3 linked regions of the Arabidopsis thaliana genome follow. The protein of the gene in region 2 interacts with the protein of the main gene of each other region in a pairwise test. Each region holds a gene or a part of one and is shown on either strand. Other genes may lie near its edges.

Region 1 (7,143 bases), 6.4 Mb from region 2:
AAGGAAAGTAAGAATGGACATGGGCCGTCCGATCAGATATGTGACCTAAGATGGCTGAGAGAGTAGTTGAATGGCTGGGGTTCAATCTCTGTTGTACACGTGGCTTTATACTACTCGTTAAAATCCATGATCTTCGAGATTTTTCTGACACTCTTAAGTTTTGGCAACCGGCTAAAACCAGTCGGAATGTTCATTTGACCTACCCCACTCAATAAACATTTCCAAAGAAAAAAGAGATTCGTATGGACACAAAGAATAGATATTTTTAGGTCATTTTCATTTTTTCGCCCGTAACCTGTGTTAAGAACATAATACGTTGTTACGTACATTTTATTTCTATTTTTAATAAACAATAATTTCCTTTGATTGTAAAAGAATCCCCCTTTATTGGCTTTTGTTCTTTCCTATGTCTTCTTGTACTCAAAATATATTTTGTTTTAGACTTTCGAAATTATCCATTTTGGAAACCTATCCATTTCTTTGTTGATCTCTTTGTATCACATTGCTCTCAAGCTATGTAGTAGTCTTAGAGATTTAGACAATACTAATGAATACAAGATACCATAAGATTTGATACAATATGTTTGTGTTATCAACGTTTGATCGGATATGTGTTTTTTTTCTACTTATAGCTATTCATTCAATGAAAATCTAAAAGAAAATTGAGACACAGTTGATGCAGAGATAATTTTCTCTAGCCTTGATAGATTTTTACAATGTGATATTGTAGGAACTAGGAAACACATGCTTCATTTTTATTTAGGCCATGAATGTTTGTAGTTTTTAAAATGGTTTTTGGATTTTGGATTTTGGTTTTTGGTTTTTAGTTTTTGATTTTCTTGGTTTTTGTTTTTGGTGTAGATTTTAGTTTCTTAAAAAACTTGAATGGTAATTTGTTTAGATTTTGGTTTTTATGTTAATGGATAGTATTTTTTTTACAAAACAAATCTAAAAATAAAATAAAAAATGTGATCGATTGTTTTTGAGAGAGAAACTCCCAAAACATAGATTTTGGTTTTCTTTGAAAAATTGTTAAAACACTCAAAAACTAGATTTCCTATATTTTAGGAAAACTTGTTTTCTCAAAATCTTGAATGGCTACAAAATAGATTTTAGAAAAAATTAAAACCAAAAACTAGTTTAAAAACCACACTCATTCAAGGCCTTACTAAAACTTGGCTACAAACAAGGCGAAGATAACATACATCATTCAATTTCAATAGTAATTAATGTGTCAAAACCTTAGAAATTAAAACAAAATTTCATCACTATGTCCAGTAAGAAAAACTAAAGCTATCAAACCTGATGTTAGTGATTTTTTTCCCCATCATCTTTAACTATTTTCCATACACATTCGTTTTTGTAATAATAACAACTTCTTAAAATGATATAACTTTTGTTACTTTATGCATGTAATTGTTGATTATAGCTAGCTTCTACACCTTTTTCTAACATGTGACACATTTTTTTTTACATGTGACACATTTGTTACGTTGGTTGGATACTTGTTATCCATATAAATCAATAAAAAGTCATATTATTCTATCTCACTCTTTTAAGTCTTTACAGATTTTTGTTTGTGAGGAGGACGTAGCTGCAAATATAGGACCCGCCATTAAATGAAAACAAATGCTTTGTCTTCAAAGCTATGAATATGTGACTTCAAAGTGTTTTTTGGTTTTTATGTGTCTTCAAAGTTGTGAATATAATAGTGTAGATTCGCTTTTCTTTACCAATCTTTGTTTGCAGATTAATAATAAGATATACTATATAGGATACAAAAACGAATTTCGTTTGATTCATTCTATAAATTTGAATTACTAAATCACTTTAGTTGAGTTTGTTCAAGGATAAAAAGTGAAACCCCAATTAAATTTGATGATTTTCAGATGTGTTTACAAAATGTTTCGAAGAACACGCTTCAAATTGATTTAACCAAGATGAACACATCCATTAAATCCTCATTCCATGAACAAAATGCACCTCATTGTCCCTAGGCCTTAACAGATCTATTTAGTACTAATACTGTATTTAATAACTTATCTTGGTAAAGAAATCACAGAAAAGCTTAACACATACAGTTTAAACCGTAAATTTATCATAGTAAAACTGTAAAAGCACTAATCATAAATTTAAACCAAGCTAATAAAACAAAAACAAGTAGCACGTTTTTACTTCAAACCGGAAACAGGCAAAACCGGTATCAAATTGCCGAGAAAGATGGAAGGAATAAATAAATGTTAAAATGTTCCTTTGTTGCCACTAACCCACAGGCTTACGTCCCATCATCATTCCCCGTTCTCTTTTTATTTTCTCTAATCGCCGACGATTATCTCTTTCGTCCGGCGATAGCTATTTTGTCTCTTCAAATCCCCATAGACCAATACTCAACTCTTCATCTCCATGTCTCCTCAATCTCATTTCTCTCCTTAGTGATTGAGCTTTTTCCTTCTTTCTCTTTGGTTATTATTCCTTCTCCTCCTCCGTCGTGTTTTTGATTGATTTCAGAATCTAAATCTCCGTTTGATTTCTCCATACTCGTGCTGATTTTCACCTATGTAATGTGATTTATGAGCTCTGTTTATTTCAAATCGACGGCGATCGTTGAATTTATTGATCAATGTGTAAGTAAGAGCTTGAAGAAATAGTTTTTGTTGTTGTTGTGAAAGCTCAGAGTTTTGTTTGCTTTTTTGTTGACTTTTTTGAGATTGATGCTGGATCTCAATCTCGACGTCGACTCGACCGAGTCTACTCAGAACGAACGAGATTCGATTACTGTTAAAGGGGTTTCTTTGAATCAGATGGATGAATCGGTGACGTCGAACTCTTCTGTTGTTAATGCTGAAGCTTCTAGCTGTATAGATGGTGAAGATGAGTTGTGCTCTACACGAACGGTCAAGTTTCAATTTGAGATACTGAAAGGAGGAGGAGAAGAAGAAGAAGAAGATGATGATGAAAGAAGTGCTGTGATGATGACTAAGGAGTTTTTTCCTGTTGCTAAAGGCATGAACTTTATGGATTCGAGCGCTCAAAGTTCAAGGAGCACCGTTGATATTTCCTTCCAGAGGGGGAAACAAGGTGGAGACTTTATAGGTAGCGGGAGCGGTGGTGGCGATGCTTCACGGGTGATGCAGCCACCATCACAGCCGGTGAAGAAAAGCAGGAGAGGTCCTAGGTCTAAGAGTTCTCAGTATAGAGGCGTCACTTTCTATCGGAGGACAGGCAGATGGGAATCGCATATCTGGTATATCTACTACTGATTGATTTATCTTTTAGATAGGTCTTAGATGAGTTGTTGATCTTTGGTCGAAAATGGAAGAGCTTGGTTTAGATTTTGTATTAATCTACAAGTTTCTTTTTTGTCAATTTTCATGGTTGCAGGGATTGCGGTAAACAAGTTTATTTAGGTATGGATTCTAATGGCTGTACTACTGTGAACTGATTTCTGCTGGGATCTTAGTTCTCTAATAAAAGCTTTAACTTTTGAATTCAATAGGTGGATTTGATACTGCCCATGCTGCAGCTAGGTAATGCCTTTGGAAATGATATTTTTTTGTTTGATCTTATTGATCACTCAACTGTTTTTTCGTTATGATACAATTGTTTCCTAAGTTCAACTTTCGTTGGTGTAGGGCGTATGATCGAGCTGCTGTCAAATTCCGGGGTCTGGAAGCTGACATCAATTTCGTTATTGGCGATTATGAAGAGGATCTCAAGCAGGTTTTGATTACAGATGTACAAATGAAGACATGTACGCTTTGATTTGTTCTTATCTGGTTTTCAAACTTTACAGATGGCGAATCTTTCCAAAGAGGAAGTTGTGCAAGTACTTCGGCGACAGAGCTCTGGTTTCTCAAGGAATAATTCTAGATATCAAGGAGTTGCTTTGCAAAAGATTGGCGGGTGGGGAGCTCAAATGGAGCAGCTTCATGGAAACATGTAATTAACTTTTCCTGGGATCTAAGTATGGGCTTTTACAAATGCTATGTTATTTGTGTTTTTGTCTGAATGTGGTTGTCAGTCATTGCTAAAAAGAGTGGAGTGGTTCAGATGAAGAGTTTGGTAATTTTTCGTTAGTTGAAAAGGGCTTCTGTTAGAACCATTAGCAGGAAGACCCGTTTGTGATTATGAGTTATATATAGAGATTTTGATGGCTATGAGACATTTATATCTATCTTGGGATGATTGTCATCTGAGTATGAGCTGTACGCTAGTGATGGTTGTAAATTACATTATGAGGAAGTCTTTTATCCTGAATTATTGATCTATTAGGAAAATTCATGACTAATTGCTCAGATTCTTATGGAATTAGGGGTTGTGACAAGGCAGCCGTACAATGGAAGGGAAGGGAAGCTGCTTCCTTAATTGAGCCTCATGCATCCCGAATGATTCCCGAGGCAGGTAATGTAATTGATGTTCCTTGCTTGTTAAACTGGTCGATGCTATGCAGCTTTTGCTGTCATCATTGATATCTCTGCTCAATATTTGAAAAGCTACGACTAACTTGTTTTCCTGATCTTATTATTTAGCTAATGTTAAGCTCGACCTCAACTTGGGAATCTCTCTTTCACTAGGAGATGGTCCGAAGCAAAAAGATAGGGCCCTCCGGCTTCACCATGTCCCTAACAATTCCGTATGTGGAAGGAACACCATGGTGCAATTTTTTCTTCAGTGCACCAAATATGATTTACTTTACTTTCATATGCGTTTTGCTGCAACTGTTAGTCAAATGTTTCTTTGTCGATATGTCATAGCAATCTGGAACTCAAAGATACTGTCTCCTTTGCTAGCTCGAGCCCTCATGTTTTTTCATTTATTCATGAATTTCTTGCTCTTCATTTGATATACTCACAGATGGAGAACCACATGGCTGCAGCGGCATGTGATACGCCTTTCAATTTCTTGAAGAGGGGTTCAGACCATCTTAATAACCGGCATGCCCTTCCTTCTGCGTTCTTTTCACCCATGGTAAATAGTAAATACCATAGCACACATCTCGTTATATCCAACTGTTTGTCACTGCCTCACAATTTTTACCTTCTGTCCAGAACTAACATACAATATGAAATAGAATGACAATTTTAAATTTATCGAACTTTACCCTACCTATGAGTAATTTGTGTGATATGAAATTCAGCTAGATGTTCATCAAGTGGTTACTGTTGTGATATTTGATCAGTTAAGTACTTGAGCTCAACTCTTTGATATCCTTTGAGAACAGGTCTATGTTGTTGCTTGTTAGTTCTTCTTCTATGTTGTGATATTCTTGAAGATTTGAATGAATAATCTTCTGTCCTAAAAGTTAAATTCTTGTCTCCAGGAAAGAACACCAGAGAAAGGGCTTATGTTACGTTCTCATCAAAGCTTCCCAGCCAGGACATGGCAAGGGCATGATCAGTCCAGTGGTGGGACCGCCGTAGCAGCTACAGCACCGCCACTGTTTTCAAATGCAGCATCATCAGGATTCTCACTCTCAGCTACACGCCCTCCTTCATCCACAGCTATTCATCATCCTTCTCAGCCCTTCGTCAATCTGAATCAGCCCGGTCTCTATGTTATCCACCCATCTGATTACATATCTCAGCACCAACACAATCTCATGAACCGCCCACAACCACCACCATAGCTTCCTCCTTCCTCCGCATAACTCAAGGTAAGACTTTCTTGGAAACAACAACATTCAACTCATCGTTTGGCTCAGCACACAAGCTGTAGTTTCCTCTTCCTGTTATACGTTACGTTTACAATCCAAAAGAAAAAAAAAAAAAATTTTGATAGAAGACCACTAAAGAAAAAGAGTTTGAGATGTTTGTATTCATATGAATCTTGATGGAAACATGAAAAGTATGATGAATGCTTAGCGAATAGAAGAAGACTAAGGAAGAGTTCCAAGTTGTGTAGTATTATCACCCTCCTGTTTTCTGCTTCTCTGTCAATCTCAAACACATATTTGAGGCAATAGTTTTCCTAAGATCCTACAATACTACACGTAATAACATACTTTGTATGTGAACGTGCAGGTTCTACACAGCCCTGAGGTTGGAATAAGTTGGAAGGCCAGCCAAAACGACGCTGAATTCTCCCAAGATCTGTTGTACTTATTGTCATTGTGTGATTTATCTTTCTGCTTTTGATTTGTAACATAAACTGAGGGATAATACCAAAACAGAACCCAAACCCATTTGCCATTTTACTATAATGTCTCTGATATTAATATGAACAGCGTAAAGTACAATGCATTCTATATGTATGAATGAAGAAAGCTATTGAGACTTGAGAGACTATAAATTTGTATAGATCTGATAAGTTTTAGAAATTAAAAACTCTTACATTAATTCAATACACCACAATAATCTTGATTTAACTCCAAAACACGTAACTAAAGACAGAGAGATGGAGAGAGAGAGAGAGAGAGAGAGATATAAATAATCATCCACTGATAATGTGAATCTTGATTGTTTGAACCAGGTTATTATCACCAGTCTTCTTGATCTCAAATATCATCTTATCCGTTGTCTTCACTTTATTCCTTCTGATGATACTGCCAAATCCCTTGACAAACACACTACCATTTGTCTGAATCTTGATCTGCTTCTCCAATGTCCCGAATTTTTTCACAAGTGGATCGACAAGAGTGATACTCTCAGGGAAGTGCAAGTCATAGTCTTTGATAACCCGAGCTGGGATGAGCTGCTTTATGAAAAAAAACATCATAAAAACTCACAACCCAACGATGTTAAATGAAAAGCTCTTTCACATTCAGTTTTTACTTACCAGTTGGCTTTTCTTCTTCGGATTAAGGATCAGAGTAAAAGATGGGTTCTCACGATCATCCAGATACTGTCTTTCATCTTCATCATCATCATCAGCCTTAGCATGATCTCTAGAATCAAAAGCCTCAACATAATCATCATCTTCAACAGGAACATCATCAGCAACATTATCAACATCTTCATCATCAGCATCATTATCATCTTTCTCGACAGCAGCTTCATCAGCATAATCATCACTATCATTGTCTTCACCACAATTATAATCAGAATCGTCATCATCCTCATCAAGAGATAAAACATCATCACTGGCCTGATTTTGTTCATCACTATCAGATTCCACTTTGATCTCCTCGCTTTGATCTGAACTTCT
Region 2 (4,268 bases):
TTCACGGTGAGAAGAAGTGAATCTGCGATGATGAGAGAGGAGGATAGCTTAAATTAGGTCTATGCGGGGTGAAAGAAGAAGAAGATGAGCGAGAAATCGAGAAGGAGAGACACTTACACTCGTCTTCTTCAAAAAGGGAACCCTAATTTCTAAAGCAGAAGCAGAACTGATAGAAGAAGGCAAGGACACTCCGGCGACTCTCGAGTATCCGGTTTCATGGCCCACCTTACGAAACCTTACAAAGTTACAATTAATTCACAAATATTATTGTTGGTATTAATTTAATATTAAAACAAATAAAAAACCCAAATTTTTTGCATCTAAAATGTTCAATCAAATAACAATTCCGGTTTGGTTTCGGTTCAATTATTTCGGTTTCGCTTTATTTGTTTAAACCATAAAACCAATTTGTAATTCAATTTAGTTAGGTCTCGACATAATAATCGAACCCTACGAACCAACCCAAACCCGACCGAAAACCCTGATCCAAATCCAAAAATTTCAAATATTCAACGGGTCCTAAACTTCAAAACCCGAAAAACTCTAACCCAAACCCGATCTGAACAAATATCCAAACATACCTCAAATATTTGATATATTATTTATATTCATACTTAAATACAGAAAATATTTGGATATTTGGATATTTTAGTTATTTTGTGTATTTTAGGTTACTTTGGATATATTAAAGTAAAACTATTCGTGTTGTTTTGAGAGTTTTTGAAATTTTCAAGTAATTTGATAAATTTACATACAAAATTTTGATATTTTAATATTTAAATAAACCTGAACTCGAACGGTTTAAAATTTTAAAATACCCGAACGGGTCTTAAACTTCTAAATCTGAAATACACAAACTCGAAATATTCGATCCGAATACTGAACGCCCTTTAGTTTTAATTTGGTTTAAATGATATTCCGGTTTGGTTTGTTGTGGTTGTTGGTTTTAATTTCACAGTTCAGCATTAGCAAACCTTAAATTTTATATTTTTAAACATCCTTTATTTCTAATTTCTAGATTTTTGCCTATGAAGATATCTTCAAAGTAATGTTTTAAGAAAATACCTCTTTAAGGACAAGAAAATCATATAAGGAACTTTGCTGAGGAGACATAGAAATAGTTATTTCTCGTTGTTGTAAGCGGTGGTTTAGGTGACTCATTTTCGAAGTTAAAGCTCTCGTTAAATCTGTGTTGAAGCTTCATAATCTACTATGGTGTTCCCTCCAGATCACTTTTTATTACTCCAATACTCATTTTTGAGAGATTCACTGAAGATACTCTAACATACATACGTGTATCTGTAACGTAACGGGATTCAAATACCATTTTTTCTCTTTTTTTGTGTTATGTTGTAGGATCAAAAAAATTGTGACTTTTGTGTGGATTAACATTTGACAATAACGTTAGACGTATCCATTATTCATGTGTTAAAGTAAAATACTTATTCAATAAAAGTTAATATAATTCTAAATTTGTTTTATTTATCGAGTTAAATGAGTTAACTATAACATATATTACATATATGAAATCCTCTACAGCTGTTACACAACAATGTTCATCAATATCCAATGCTGCTATTCTTCTGAAATCTGGACATCAATCGCAAAGAATGTGTACAAAGATAGATTTTCCACAAAATGGTCTGCTGTGGTGAATTACATATCTGATTCTCAGCCTGATCGCATCCAAAGTTTCTTATCCAGGTACACATTCCAAGTCTCTATTCATTCCATTTGGAGGGAGAGAAATTCTCGTCGTCACGGAGAGAAGTCACGTTCAGCTTCAAACCTCATCCGACAGATAGACAAGACTATTAGAAACCAGCTATCGACAATCAAAAAGAAAGGGGATCTTCGACTCGAGAAGGGGCTGCAAGTATGGTTTGACATGCGTCCATAGCATCCTCTAAGAAAGAAGACTCTGTTTTTGCTCTCTCAATTCTATTTACTCTGTTTTTGATCTAGCTCTATTTCTCTTATTATCAAAATATCAAAAAAGCTGATGTAAAAAGTATATTTTTTCTTTTAAATATAATTTGACATTTTATTCAAAAAAAAAAAAAAACAATGTTCATCAATAAAGTTGATTGTTGTTGATTTCTTAAAACAGGAAATCAACGAAATCTCCCAAAGTAAATAAAATTGTGTATCAACCTGTATGCCATGTATCTAAATAACAAATCAAAATCTTTTAGCAATAGATTCAAAAAAAAAGAAAAAACTTTTTGCAATATGATATGTCATATAATGATAATTAAGTTGATACAAATTGGATTCTTAAAATAAACTGGATTCTTAAGCTGCTAACCATTTATTAAAAAAAGATATTGACACATTTACCTACTCACATATTATCAAACCATATATCTAAATCACCTACTACATATTTCATTCGAAACATTGTACATAAATATATCTCTATACAAAATTTAAATGACAACATTGTCAACATAGAAGTATAGAACCGTGGCTATTAGCTATTCATATTGGGCCGACAAAAAAAAAAAAAAAAGGCTATTCATATTGGTGGGTACTAAAATAAGGCTTGGAAATTCATATTAATGTAAAACTCATTTAATCGTTAGAGAGCGTGGTAGTCATGTAGATTAATGAAGGAGCGTGAGATCAAGCAATCAAATTACGCAAAGTCACGCCGCAGTAACGGGACGTTAAGGCAAAAAGCCGTCACAAAAACATTAAAACCTCTCACATTGTCTGTTTTTTGGGCGGCGCTTTTCAGTCAAACCCTCGTTGACCGTCTCTTTCTCTTTCTCTAAACCAAAAACCTTTTCCTTTATAAATTAAACCAAAAACAACGTCACTTCTCTATCTAAACGAGAATATATCTCTTCTTTTATAAGCAATGGCTCCAAGACAGGCGAACGGTAGAAGCATTGCCGTGAGTGAAGGCGGCGGAGGGAAGACGATGACGATGACGACGATGCGGAAGGAAGTGCACTTTAGAGGTGTGAGGAAGCGTCCATGGGGTAGATACGCGGCGGAGATCCGTGACCCGGGAAAGAAAACCCGGGTTTGGCTCGGGACATTCGACACGGCGGAGGAAGCTGCAAGAGCTTACGACACCGCCGCTAGAGAGTTTCGTGGCTCCAAAGCAAAGACTAATTTCCCTCTTCCCGGAGAGTCTACTACGGTTAACGACGGTGGCGAGAACGATTCTTACGTCAACCGTACGACGGTGACGACGGCGCGTGAGATGACGCGTCAGAGATTTCCGTTTGCATGTCACCGGGAGCGTAAAGTCGTCGGTGGTTATGCTTCTGCTGGTTTTTTCTTCGATCCGTCAAGAGCTGCTTCGTTAAGAGCAGAGCTTTCTCGGGTTTGTCCGGTTCGGTTTGATCCGGTTAATATCGAGTTGAGTATTGGTATTCGAGAAACCGTAAAAGTTGAACCGAGAAGAGAACTAAACCTGGATCTTAACCTAGCTCCACCGGTGGTGGACGTTTAGATTTTTTTCTTCTTTTCATAATTTGTATTTTACATTGCCGGAAAATAATTAATGTTTTCTTTAGTAGATGAGAAAAAGAAAAATCTCCTATGTTTTTGGCTAAGTAAGAGGAATTTTTTTTCAGAAATCTCCTATGGTTCCCTAATTACGTGGATGTAATTAATTACTAATCAAATATCTCCTTTTGATATTTTTTTTCTACTTTTGATGTTTTTTCTTAAATGTCTTAAAATGACATGATGGTTGGTTGATGTATCAAATAGGTAGTAGATATCACTCCATTAAATGGATGTGGAATATGAAACCAAGAAACATCGAACATTTAGATGGTCTGTCAACATCAAACAATTTAGTATAGGAGAGTACCCAAAAATAAAAATAAAAAAATCGGATGATCATGACACAAAAAAGTAGTTATCGTTTTCATTAGTTTTCTCATTATATTGAATTATGGTTTCATGGTTTGGTTTATAAATTAGACATGTAAAATTCTTTTTTCATCTATGAATTGTGTAGGAAGAAAATTAAATTCAAAAGTAAAAAAACTGTAGTGAGTTATGAGTTTTTTTTTAAAATGTATTTGAAAAGTAGAGTGGTAGCATCATGAGTCCAATCTTCGAGTTTCGTGTAGATGGGGATGATGGCATGAGTGTCAGGTGGGAGGCACGTGTGCTTTAGCCGTCCATAATCTGTTTTGTTCCTATGCTTTCAATTTTTTTAAACCACAAACATATTTTGGCTAGGGTGGCTTTCTTACGTCTAATTATTATGTTTTGGTTTTATTTTTGTCATCTAAAATTTT
Region 3 (4,565 bases), on a different chromosome or scaffold from region 2:
ATCTATTTACCAAGACTTACTATATATACTTTTAGGCCAAAATTTACAATTCTGCCACCCAAGAGCAATTGTTCATATATCATCTATAACATAGAGTCTAATTTTACAACACTGATAGCCCGCAATATAAACCAAAAACTTTATATTATCAAAACTTAATAATAATCGAGATTTTGGTCTTAACAAAACTCGTAACAAACTTTGGTTTATGAATATATTTCAGTAACTATATTATCAGTTGATTATGATATTTTTATTTTATTGTTTATCTTTTGATTCTTTCTCACAATTGTATGTTCCAGAAAACGGATGATCATGGTATATAAGTGCACATATTTGGTAGGACCAATAATTAATAGTAACTTCAAGTAAATCATATAAATTCACAAGCATGACATGACAACCTCTTGAAGCTAATATCATACGTGACATAATTAATGGCGAAGGCCGAAGGGTAAAGGAACAATATGTGTTTTTAATTAACTAGCTTAACAAGTTAAGGCTTTATAGTAATGTTTAGAACATTCTTTCGTTTTGAATTAGTATCAATCTCACACTTTTAAATTTTAAGATGGTAAAAAATATTATTATTATACCTTACTACCAAATTTTTAGTTATTTAATGTTTTGGAACAAAGATGAGATATTGTTATTTATTATGACTTTCTCTTTGTTATCTACTTCAATACTCTTCCCACTAATTATCTGACACGTTTCTACACTGTTGTAAATTTGATGTCTGATAGTGCAAGACAAGCAATCTCCCATAATCCTAATTCTTGGCTCTCTTCTTTTTTTTCTTTCCCTTTACTGATAATTTGTTTTGGGTGAATATGAAAATCTTAGAGCATCCACATTACTCATACCTTTGTAGATATCTCAAAAATAAATTAAAATTAAATTAAAGACAGCTTCTATTTTAGAGATCTAAAATGTCTTTCTAAAGACACTATTACACAATTAAAAACATTAAATTATCTTTTTCTATTATTTTTAATTTAAAGACACCCTCAAAGTATCACCAATGAAGAATGAGGATGGTCTTATATTCAATATAACCTTCAATTCATCAATGACTGCGATATATCAATATTATAAAATGACATTTCATGAGTAAAAATGTATATAAAAATGAATAACTACTTATCTTATAAAGTCTAATTTAGTGATTGTTGTTGTTTCTTCAAATTTTAAATTAAATGATGTAGCTTTTTTTGTTTCAAATAATTTAGCTACACTTTTTCTTTTCCATATTTTGATCACAATTGTATTGTTTTTGTCTATATATTATCACCCAAATTTTAATTTGGTAGAGACATTATTGAATAAAATATCCTATATATGAATTAATAAAATGAAAACTAGGTGTAATTAATTAATGATCTTTTTTCTCTTTGTCTGTAGAAAAGTGAGGAAATAATTAGCTATGGCTATGGCTCTCATGTGTCTTTCTCATGCTTTATTGGCTTTCACTACTAATACTCTAAGCCCTTAGTTTAAGAAGTGCCTTCACATCCAAAACCCACCTGCAATTCTCTCTTTCTCTCTCTCTCTCTCTCTCTCTTTATCTTCTTTCTTCAAAGTCTATCACTTTATAAAACCCTAATTAAATCTCTAAACTCCTTAGCCTCTCTCTATTCTCAGAACCTTGTGGTTATTCTCAAGAAAGGTTTCATTTTGAGATAAAGTTTGCTGCTCTTTCTGGTTGTGGGTATGTGCTCTTAACTTCTTCAGTCAATTTTTTCATTTGGTTTAAATAGAACAATTTTGTTTTGGTGATACAATAAAGATTGTCTTCTTGATTATCATCAACCTCTCACTTGGAATAAGACCTTTCTTTCTCAAGTGGGTTTGTCAGCTTTTGCTTAAGCAGGCTTGCAATAAGTTTTTCTTTTCTTTTGTACTTTTTCGTTTTGTTCTCTATCTTTATGGACCTTCTAAAATTAGGGTTTTTCTTTTTGTTTGGAGGAAATAATTAAAAAAATGGGGTTAATGAGTAGTGAAGAAAGCTCTTGCCTTTTTGTAGCTTAATCATTTGAATTTTACTCATTAATTATCTTTACTCTTGTTTTTTTCTTCCTAACTAGTTTCTTTGTCCCCAAACCAAGAAACACTTTGCAAAACCCAAAAAAAGTTTTAAATATAAAATCGTGTTTATTTCCTTGGCAGATAGATCAAAAGAATGGAGATTGCAAGTCAAGAAGATCCTATTCCAATAAACACTAGTTATGGTAATAGTGGAGGTGGGCATGGGAACATGAACCATCATCATCATGCCAATTCTGCACCATCATCTCTCAACATTACTACTTCAAACCCACTACTAGTCTCCTCAAATAGTAATGGTCTTGGTAAAAATCATGATCATTCTCATCATCATCATGTGGGTTACAACATCATGGTTACCAACATCAAGAAAGAGAAGCCTGTGGTGATAAAGTACAAGGAATGCCTAAAGAACCATGCAGCTACCATGGGAGGCAATGCCATTGATGGTTGTGGAGAGTTTATGCCAAGTGGTGAAGAAGGTTCCATTGAAGCTCTCACTTGCTCAGTTTGCAACTGCCATAGAAACTTTCATAGAAGAGAAACCGAAGGTGAAGAGAAAACATTCTTTTCCCCTTACCTCAACCACCACCAACCACCTCCGCAGCAGAGAAAACTCATGTTCCACCACAAGATGATCAAATCACCATTACCACAACAAATGATAATGCCTATTGGCGTTACAACCGCTGGATCCAACTCAGAGTCAGAGGATCTTATGGAGGAAGAAGGCGGAGGAAGCTTGACATTCCGGCAGCCACCACCACCACCATCACCGTATAGTTACGGACATAATCAGAAGAAAAGGTTTAGGACAAAGTTTACACAAGAGCAAAAGGAGAAGATGATTAGTTTTGCGGAAAGAGTTGGTTGGAAGATTCAGAGACAAGAGGAATCTGTTGTTCAACAGCTTTGTCAAGAGATTGGAATTAGGAGAAGAGTTCTTAAAGTTTGGATGCACAACAACAAACAAAATCTCTCCAAGAAGAGCAACAACGTTAGTAACAATGTCGACCTTTCTGCTGGTAATAACGACATTACTGAAAATCTTGCTTCTACTAATCCTTAGTTAAGTTCAGATTGTTGTTATATAACTTCACTCATGTGATTACTTAATTAATTAAGTACTTTCTTATCGTATGGTTAATGTTTTCTCCTTTCTCGGCTAATCATTGTTTAGGTAGCTTTATAAACATGTGTTTTATTAGGGTACCTATAATCTTGGTTTTGGAGCGTGTAAGATAAGTTTTTGATGTTTTCTTATAATGTATGTTTAAGAAAATTCTTGGCGATTTAACCAATGCATTGGGATGTGCACTGTTATTATTTACTTCGAATCATTAGACTTTGTAGTTCGTGATATCATTTGTCACGTTTACTATTTATGTGAGTAGCAGAATTTTAGATTCTCATAGGTAACTCTTTTTGTTTTTGTTTTTTGAATTCTGATATTTATTAAAGGAAGTGTATCATACAAAGTCCATAACAAAATTAATACTAGTTACCTAAATCTTACGCCGGTCTTGTTTTGATTTGTCTTGTTTCTTTTTTGTCGTTGTTTTGATTTAACAAAATATTTTTTTTTGATTTGTCTTGTTTTTTAAACATCCGGTCTTGCTTTGATTCTATTATTTTGTTTTCTAGTTTGAAAAAATATTTTCATTCTCATGATCGAAAAATAAATTGCACGGAAAACAAAGAGAGCAATAAATTACGATTTCTATCAATGGAGAGAGTTGGAGATTGTCCTGGCGAGTGTAAGTCAAGTCCTAATATGTATGACGTATTAGGTTGAGTAAATGTTTGGTTGGTGTACTAGTAAACTCATTTATGGACCTTTTCTTTTATTTGAACAATTATGTGCATTTACTTTATGTGACTTCTTGGCATATTGCAAGTCGTGTAATGTGATATGGGATAAAATATGTCATGCATCAAAATGGAGTTACGATTTTAAGATGTTGTTGTTCCTTGTGATATCACATGTTTCATTTATTGTAATATTAAATGTAACATTTTCACTTGTTGTTTTATAGTAGTATAATTTTTTATGCCTATAGTTTATCACTCGATTTCAGTAAAACATCAATAATGAATTGCGTATTGCGTATTTCGTGGAAGATAAAAATTCAATTAACTGACATAGTTTATTGATTGCCATTACTATTATTTTGTTATTGAAACGTCATTTTATTCAAATATATTTTTATCTCCTTCAAGATTGACATAGCATTATAGCACTATAACAATATAAAATATATATATATATATATATATATATATAAATTATCCAACTCTTTACATATGATCGATACATCATCACTTTAACATTTATCATGTGTCTATTAAATAATTAATGTAAACTTTTCAATTTTTAATTTATAAGTTAATGATAAATTTATTATTTAATTTTATATATGATTTTATTTTACATATTTACTGTACTATTACTAAATTTATTTAAATATTACATGATTTTTCAATAAATTTTTCAATAAATTTATTTAAATATTTTATTT

The links.
Region 1: the proteins of ERF9 (region 2) and TOE2 interact in binary tests that used the Arabidopsis thaliana proteins (3 or more experiments, as listed by UniProt).
Region 3: the proteins of ERF9 (region 2) and HB21 interact in binary tests that used the Arabidopsis thaliana proteins (3 or more experiments, as listed by UniProt).

The regions. Positions count from the first base shown.
Region 1 is NC_003076.8:24,205,442-24,212,584, forward strand, and holds TOE2 (target of early activation tagged (EAT) 2), read left to right. Parts: upstream 1-2,247; 5' UTR 2,248-2,711; coding exon 2,712-3,244; intron 3,245-3,381; coding exon 3,382-3,407; intron 3,408-3,496; coding exon 3,497-3,527; intron 3,528-3,632; coding exon 3,633-3,720; intron 3,721-3,793; coding exon 3,794-3,939; intron 3,940-4,312; coding exon 4,313-4,401; intron 4,402-4,529; coding exon 4,530-4,720; coding exon of another isoform or gene 4,721-4,843; exon of another isoform or gene 4,844-4,854; coding exon 4,855-4,968; intron 4,969-5,137; exon of another isoform or gene 5,138-5,320; coding exon 5,321-5,626; 3' UTR 5,627-5,653; exon of another isoform or gene 5,654-6,020; 3' UTR 6,021-6,302; downstream 6,303-7,143. Other genes in the region: AT5G60130 (AP2/B3-like transcriptional factor family protein), read right to left, coding at 6,430-6,690, 6,775-7,143.
Region 2 is NC_003076.8:17,803,879-17,808,146, forward strand, and holds ERF9 (erf domain protein 9), read left to right. Parts: upstream 1-2,518; 5' UTR 2,519-2,863; coding exon 2,864-3,466; 3' UTR 3,467-3,663; downstream 3,664-4,268.
Region 3 is NC_003071.7:682,120-686,684, forward strand, and holds HB21 (homeobox protein 21), read left to right. Parts: upstream 1-1,515; 5' UTR 1,516-1,711; intron 1,712-2,169; 5' UTR 2,170-2,182; coding exon 2,183-3,115; 3' UTR 3,116-3,377; downstream 3,378-4,565. UniProt on the Arabidopsis thaliana protein: Putative transcription factor.